Oryzias latipes: one gene and its partner. The protein of the gene in region 1 interacts with the protein of each later gene in a biochemical or structural test. Links are inferred from orthologs where the notes say so. Each region holds a gene or a part of one and is shown in the gene's direction. Other genes may lie near its edges. The genes, in order: fgfr2 and fgf7.

What was found.
Region 2: the proteins of fgfr2 (region 1) and fgf7 form a complex in vitro, tested with the Homo sapiens proteins (3 studies listed by BioGRID). The link is inferred for Oryzias latipes from reciprocal best matches to the Homo sapiens genes FGFR2 and FGF7.

What each region holds. Positions count from the first base shown.
Region 1 is NC_019873.2:29,222,434-29,226,252, forward strand, and holds part of fgfr2 (fibroblast growth factor receptor 2), read left to right. Parts: intron 1-2,629; coding exon 2,630-2,820; intron 2,821-3,029; coding exon of another isoform or gene 3,030-3,168; intron 3,169-3,819. UniProt on the Homo sapiens protein: Tyrosine-protein kinase that acts as a cell-surface receptor for fibroblast growth factors and plays an essential role in the regulation of cell proliferation, differentiation, migration and apoptosis, and in the regulation of embryonic development.
Region 2 is NC_019861.2:12,855,035-12,859,344, forward strand, and holds the start of fgf7 (fibroblast growth factor 7), read left to right. Parts: upstream 1-1,228; 5' UTR 1,229-1,471; intron 1,472-1,790; 5' UTR 1,791-2,142; coding exon 2,143-2,428; intron 2,429-4,310. UniProt on the Homo sapiens protein: Plays an important role in the regulation of embryonic development, cell proliferation and cell differentiation. Required for normal branching morphogenesis. Growth factor active on keratinocytes.

The sequences.
Region 1 (3,819 bases):
CCAGTTCTTACAACACTCTTCTGACTTTGTCTCTACCTTTTATTTTCTTCTGCTTCTCGTTTGTATGGAATCGCCATGGGATTGCCCCCCCCTCCCCCCCCCCCCCAGTTAGCTCTGCCTCAGACACATATTTACTGCAGCACTAAGGCCCCTCCATTCTGCCCTGCTAACCTTTTTTGTCCTCTCTGCTCCACTACAGTGCAGTGGGCAGAGAATTGGGAGGGAGGGAGGGGGGGGGGGGTTCCTCTCTCTGTTTAAATAACCTGCAGGAGCGACTCTCAGGAAGAGCCTGACTTCACTGGTTCAGACTGGAGTCTGGACGTCTGCAGAGAAACCAGCAAAAGGGACAAACTTTGAGTCTTTCAATTAGATTTGTGGCGCCCTGGAAATGAAACACTTTTGAAAGAGGCGTGCCATCCTGTGCCATCATGCCCCCCCCCCTCGCTGACCTCAGAGCCTGTCTGCCAAACCGCCAGGTTACTCGGAGTTCAGGCTTCACGGGACACCGCAGCAGGAACTGTGTTTGGTCACTCCTACGTTTGGAGACCGGCGTCACAGAGCTTTGGTCGGAGCTTCTTGGTGATAAACCAAATTTCATCCTAACATTCATGCAAACAGATCCTAAAGTTCATCGTTGCATCCATTTTCCTCTTCACTCTTAAAGTTTTTCAAATCACAGCATAAAGAGGGAAGCCTAAAAATATGGAAAAGATAGAAATAAATCTCCAGGAAGAAGAAAAGAATAATACAGTTTACTAAAGAAATGTAAAATTAAAAAATTGAATATCTAGAAACAAGGACTTCCACACAAACATTGAAAAACGGAAAAAATGAGTAATATTACAGAGCTTCCTCACACAAATGAATTGAATATGTAAATAAAATGCCATGTAGATTTTCTGTGGGTTTTCTTTCTCCATCAAGTAAAAATAATAATTCGATTCTATATTTATGGTTGCCGAGTCGATTCCCTTTCGATTTTGATTCCCTTTAAAAGATCTGATTGGATTGATCCTCTGACCTAAAGTGGATCCAGATCCTCTTGATCCAAACTTCCAGCAATGAGACTCAGACAGAGATTCCTGCTACTGAACAGTGAAGTTCAGCCCACTGTGGTGTATAAAAAAGTGTGTAAAACAGTGAAGTTTTGCGTTTTGACTCCTGCTAGCAGAACACCGATCAGACTTTGGTTATTGGTGGATGCTCTCCAAAATCAAGCAATTGGTTTTTTGAGTCTTAAATCCAGTTTTTCAATTGTCAAGAGTCTGGAGCAAAATGCCTTTGACCCCCAGTGAGGTACCTAAAACATGTAAACATGTCCTGTCCATCACAGCACTGAGAATGTTCCTTTCCAGGAGAAACACCAGCCAGACTCTGAATTACAGAGCTGTTCCTGTGACGACCTGAACCTTTCAAGTGCAGAACTAGAGCCGGGGTTTCTTTCTAAGATCCTCAGATTTGCACATTTGTCTTCTTTTTGCTTTCAAAGTAGTTTTAGTGAAACTTTCAGAGGCTTTCACAAAGAAACTAAAGCAGAAAGCCGCCGACTGTTGTCAGAGTTAAGGTCTCAACCTTGTTCTGTTTGTGAAGCTCTGGAGAGGGGCAGTAAACAAAGACAGACAATAAACAAGGAACTCTCTAGGAATGTGATGGAGGGAGGGGGAGGCGGGCTGGTGGGGGTCTGTTCTGATATACTTCAGAGAGATGGGAGAATGCGACTGACAGGAGCCTCCATTTCATCTGCGTTCCATCCGTCTAACGGCTGTAGTCGTCAGGATCCGCCTCCGACCAGCCCTCTGCTCGCCACAACTGCACCCGTGTCGTTGTTTTGGAAGGTCACTGAAGCCCCTCCATTAGATGCCATTTTCCCTGCAGTGTTTGGGGGCAGTAGGTGGTGGGGGCTGGCAGGCTCTTGTGTTTGAAAGGGGGCATTGTTCCACAGGTCTAGCTCTGTTTGGATACGTAGGTCAAATGTTTACTCGTACAAACGATTCCATGAAGGTTTTTCAGCGGCTCACATGTGGATCGGCCCCCGCTGCTGCTGCACGCTTTAGGGAGGGGTCTCTGCATCCTCCATCTGACATGAAAACACACATCACATACAAAAACACAGGGTGACTCCTGACAGTTCATGCTGCCAAGCTAAAATAATTATGATTAATAGGTTATTTAAAGCAAGTTTTCATCTGTAGTCCTTCAAAAAACACAAATACATTTACAATAAAATACAAACACAAACACCTCCTATAGATATATATCAAATACGATATGACAACATATAACCACAGCATCATACTATGAAATTGCAGTTTAGGATTAACGTGTTAATCTTTTTCAAACCTACATTTTTACACAAAAATGCAAAGTAAAAAATATTTTTCCTCAGGTTTTTGGATTTATTACATAATTTAATAAATTTTATAATATTCTTCCCTGTTTAATAAGTAATTTTTTGCTTTTTTTAAATTTGTCTTATCATTCTCTGTGTAGCCTTTGTCTTGTTCACATGCTGTAATACTTTGTTTAAAAAATGTTGGGGTGTCCTGGTTTGGAAGCTCTTGTCTTTATGTTCTGAAAATGTGTTTATATTCAAAAAAGTAAAAAGAAAATGGTCGTTTTCTCCCTGCAGAGCGGTCTCCTCACCGTCCAATTCTCCAGGCTGGTCTTCCCGCTAACACCACTGTGCACGTTGGTGAAGACGCCCGCTTTGTGTGCAAAGTTTACAGCGATGCTCAACCTCACATCCAGTGGCTGAAGCACATCACCCAGAACGGCAGTCGCTTGGGTCCTGATGGCCACCCCTACGTCAGAGTGCTAAAGGTACGTTCCACAATCGTTTGCGTTCTGTTTTGAGTTCATGGACGAAGGTCTATCATGTGAACTTGCGTGCTCACACATGTACGAGCCGGCTCTCGGCGGTGATTTTGGCTGTGTCCTGTAGGCCCGGATCTCTAGCTGTCATCACACGATCCACCTGAATTTGTCTGCTTGTTTGTCTGATGTTCCTGAATTGTGTGTATGGGTTTCAGCGTTCAGGCATTAACAGCTCAGACGTGGAGGTGCTCACCCTCACCAACGTCTCTGAGGAAGATGCTGGAGAGTATACCTGTAAGGTCTCCAATTATATTGGGGAGGCCCACCAGTCGGGGTGGCTGACGGTCATCCCAGGTAACCTTTGAGCATTGACCCCCCTCCCCCTCCCCAGCGTGGGTCCTTTATTGTTCTCCTTTGGTCCTGCTGGTGGTCTCGTGGTGGTCCCAGGTTTCGGGGATCTTCTCTGTCCTCCAGTGTTACACCCCTCAGGTTTCCCCTCTTCATCCCCCTGTTGGAACTGGTGCTGCCATGGAAGCACTGGTTGGGCTTGCATACTTTGACAACTACATAACTAGCATTTTAATTCACTTTTTATAACTTTTTTTTTTTTAATTTTACTCTTCTATTTGAAGTGCAAGTTCCATCCAGATGGTGAACAGTGCTCTCCATGCTGTCCGTGTTTTTCCATGCATGTGTCCACGTTGGTGTTTGGATTAGTGCTTCCTGTTGGTAGGCTCTTCAGGTGATGGGTGTCTTTTTGTGTTTTTTTTGGTGCGTTGGTTTTTGTTCTCTCAGGTTTTGATGGTGCATTGGGATCTGTCTTTGTCTCTTCTCCATCTTCGCTCCCAACATCACCTCCTCCAGACGGGACTTCAGCGATGGACACTATTCACCTCCTCTGCTTCCTCTTTTGGTGTTTTGGGTCTCATTTTTTTCTCTTTCTTTCTCCCTTTTTTCTCTGGAATTTCCTCCCCCTTTTTTTTGCACATCTACCTCTATTCCTTT
Region 2 (4,310 bases), on another chromosome or scaffold:
CATCACTCATTTCCCTCATATGAAATGTACAACTATAAGCTCTGCAAACATATTTGGCTACACGAAAATGACAATATTTTATTTCAGACATATACTTATATTTGAGACATATATAATAGCAACAAATAAATACATATTAAAAAGGGATTGAGAAGTAAAAGCCTTCAGAGAGTCCCAGTGTCAAATTCCAGGCAAGGTTTCAAACTTCTTAAAAAGAGGGTAACTTATTTGGTCATGGTTTTCAAAATAAGGTGTTTGCAAATGTGATATTTCTTTTGCTAATGCATTCAGAAGTCAAGAGCACAAGGTGAATGGTAAATCGTATATACTTATATAGCCCTTTTCTTCCTTGCTTTAAAACTCAAAGCGCTCTACAGTCACAGTCCCATTCACCCATGCACACACTTTCAGACACTGATGGCGGCTTTGTGGCAGCACAGAATGTCTCTAAGATGATGAAAGAGTCAGCCGAACAAGTCTGACCGGTAACTGAAAGGTCTTTACGACCACCAGTCAAGAAATGAGACGGAGACCTGCTGCAGCCTAAAGCCATCCACTCTCTGGCTGCAGTCCTGACCTTCCCAGGAGAAATAATCATTAGGGTCCACATAAACTTTTGAAGTGGCAGGTCTAAAGAAAGGCCAGGTATGTGGGGCAATAAATTATGTCTTCAAATACAAACACGAAAAGTGAAAGAGTGCACGACCCCTGACGTATAAATGTCTACCTCCAAGCAGCAGTGTCTTCTGTTTTTCTCTTCTTGGGTGGAGACCTGCCAAACATAACTTATTGCTTCCCACTATTAGGATCGATAAGAATTAGAATTGAGGACCTTCTTTGAAGTTTTTCAGCTCAATAAAGTCTTATCAATGCCTCAGTGCAGCCCCAATAACCCAGGAGATGAGCAATAACAGATTTCTAAAAGCTTTGTCATCATGGCAGATGTCTGAATCATGTTTGAGGAGAGCATGAGTCATTAAAAGATTGGCCTGAACCTTCTTTTTAACGTGATGTTACCAGATGCCGCAGCAAATTCTGCAACAATGAGTGTGGATTTGAAGTTCTCAAAGTAGTTGAGGGCACATACCAGGAAAAGTCTGGTATTCCAGAGTTTATAGCTCCCTCTCATGCCGGGTGGGTGAGTGACAGCGAGGCAGGCAGAGGGTGTTTCTCCACCGCATCTCCGCCAGGGACAGCTGACTGGTTGGGATCTAATTGCTCTAAAGTGAGGTCAGCAGGAGGCATTTATCTAAGCAGAGTGCACAGCAACAGTGGAGGATGCACAGACTGAGCCTACCAAGATCAGGGAAGCATACATAGGATTTGACAGAAACTGCCAGCTCCTGCTCCGCTGTACTGCATCCCCAGGCTTGGTCCACCGCTACCGCTTTATTCTAAGGATTCGACAGATTTAAATTCAGGCTCTAAAGGCACAAACCTCTGGAAACTCTTGTCAACACTCAGAGCACATGTAAGTCATCAAAATATTGTTTTATTTGAAAGAGAAATACAATATTGCATTTACTGAAATAGTGCTGACAGGAGAGATGACAGACCTGCCCCCCAATTGACAGCAGTATTGATGCAATATTTGTATTGGTTCAGTTTTAAGACAGGACGCCATGTGTGCGTCAGTGTAGACTAGCCTGATTCCGATTTACTATCGCGAAACACCATAAAAACATAGTTTAAACATTATTCATTTCAGAAAATTATTTAATTGTGTTTTATTTTTCAAATATTATGTGCAATGTTTATCAAAAACTAAACAAGTGTTCTGTTTTTAACAGCGGCATCTGATACAACTTTTAAAACTTGGATTATGACATCAATTGTGATCTCAAAAAGGATGAAGTGGTCAGTACACACCGTCACAGACAACTAACTAGAGACATCCTCTCCTGTTACTATCAGCCGTCCTTTTGTGAGACTTCTGACCAGCGAAAGCTCACACATACCACCAGGAATTCCTGCTCTGACCAGCGAAAGCTCACACATACCACCAGGAATTCCTGCTCGCGAAACGAGGACCCCAAGGTCAAAAATTAGGGGTCAGGGGGTCAGCGTGTTGAGGGACAGCATACAGCTCTCTATCATTTCTTTCAGTATGTTGTTCACTGAGCCCCACTGTACTGCATTATAATGCGCAAATGGAGGCTGACACGGAACCTTCAAAATCTGTTCTCTGGACTCTACCTGCATCTAATCTTCCTGTTTGGTGGTGTGTGTGTAGTCTATGGTGACTGCACTCCAGAGCAACTGGCTGCCATCAAGAACTGCTCCAAGCATGAGCGCCACACAAGGAACTATGATTACATGGAGGGAGGAGATGTGCGCATCCGACAGTTGTTCAGTGCCACAAACTGGTTCCTACAGATCGATGACTCCGGAAACATCAGTGGGACTCAAGATCGCACCAACTGCTACAGTAAGGAATCACTTTTTTTTGCACCTAAAATGTTTCTTAAGCTTAATAAGTAACTGAGGTGGAGTTAAGCAGATGGAGGTCTTGGCTGGTCAAAACTAAGCCTAAATTTGTAATCAAATAAACCAGAGATTCTATCAAACCAAAAAGTGTCAGGTCCCTGTGACCCCAGGGTCACCTGCAGCGAATCACATTGGGTCAGAATGATTTACTATCTCATACGTTTTTTATTTTCTTACCTACACATTATTAGCAACAATCTCCCATAAAAAATGATTTACCTAAAAGCTTCATTTTAAGTACAAATAAAACTAATTTATGACAGAATTGACCTGCTACAAACTACAAGGAATGGCCATTTTGTTGCTTGTGACCAAGGTTTCTCAAAGTTCATGTTTACAGAGATGACTAGAAGTCTCAGTCATAGTGAGGATGTTTTGGCTACTTATCATTTCCTCTAATCTGACAGCAGCAGAGCTTGGAATTCTGACTTGAACTAGAGCTACCTCATTATGAGGATGGTTGTGCAACAACTAGCAATGTAAAGCAGAAAAAATAGAACAACAACTTGGGGCTAATTGTTTTATTTGAGAGAAAAATAAGTTTGGCTCGAAGCTGCCCGTGGATCAACGGTTTAAAAAAATTAGTTATTGTATTATGTATATTTTAATCCATGTTGACAAATTGTGTAAAAGAAACATATTGTTTTTTTAATTTTTGATATTATCATATACCATAGAATCCTACACTAAACGTTTCTTCTGCTCTTTCCAAACTCACGTCTTTTGCTATTTAGGTTAATATGAGTGAAGAAATCATTAAGTAAAATGAAAACCCTCTTAGAACAGTCTAACAGAAACATTGACTTTAAAGAGTCTTGGAGGGTAGGTCTAGACTAGGGTTTTGGTAAAATGGGGCTTAGAAACATGCCTGCCACTTGTCTTTACATTTCACTCAGAATTGTGGGAATTACATGAAAACTATCAAACCACATCAAACTTGACGGCTGTCTTGGTTCAAGAAATATGTAACCCTGACCCACAGTGTCTGAAAATGGTACTGCAGTCCAATTTCTCACAATTGGAAAGCCCTATCTTTCTGGACCCTCCCAGATGAAAGGTCATGGACATTAAATCTTCTTCTGTAAAGTGCAACATTTACATTAATGTAAAGGACATTTTAAGGTAATTTCAATAAAAATGTTTTCCTTGACAGGAGTTGGTAAAAAAAAGGTAATTCCGCAAAACACCAAATGACCCCTAAAAATAATCTTGAAGGGAAAGAATTGCAGAAAACTGTACAACTTTGTTTAGATGGAGAGACATATTTTTCCCTCTTTAGGAGAGCAGCCAGCTCAGCATTGGCCTCGAAAGCTTTCTGTGCTGCAATCATCTCTCTCCATTTCTCAAAACCTTTTCAAACATGTACCGTCATTTATCAACCTTTTCCTCGTATCATTTTTTTAAACGCTAAGCCAAGGTTTTTTAGTCAAGTTAAATAGGTCAGGCCAATAGCTGAAGCTCTACTGTTAGTTTTGCCTTGATAATTGATGTTTTATCATGTAAACCAAAGGAGATCAGAGGAAGCGCTGGTTGGGGTTCCTAAAAGCAGCCTGATTTTGGCAAACAAAACTTGTTTCATGTCTTAAATTAAAACCTGTAGAGGAATATTGTTGATTTAAAATTCTGGATTAAACACAAAGTGCATTAGATGTCCCATCACAAGGTAATTTTAGGATTTATCGCAGACTTTGGCTCATTTTTGGTTTGTCATCTGTATTTTGAGCTTGATGTTGCTCTGAATACTAATGAATGTTGAACTTTAAAAACAGTTTCCATGTTTGTTGTTTTTATAAGAATAAGGAAAACCGTTAGAAAGATGTGGC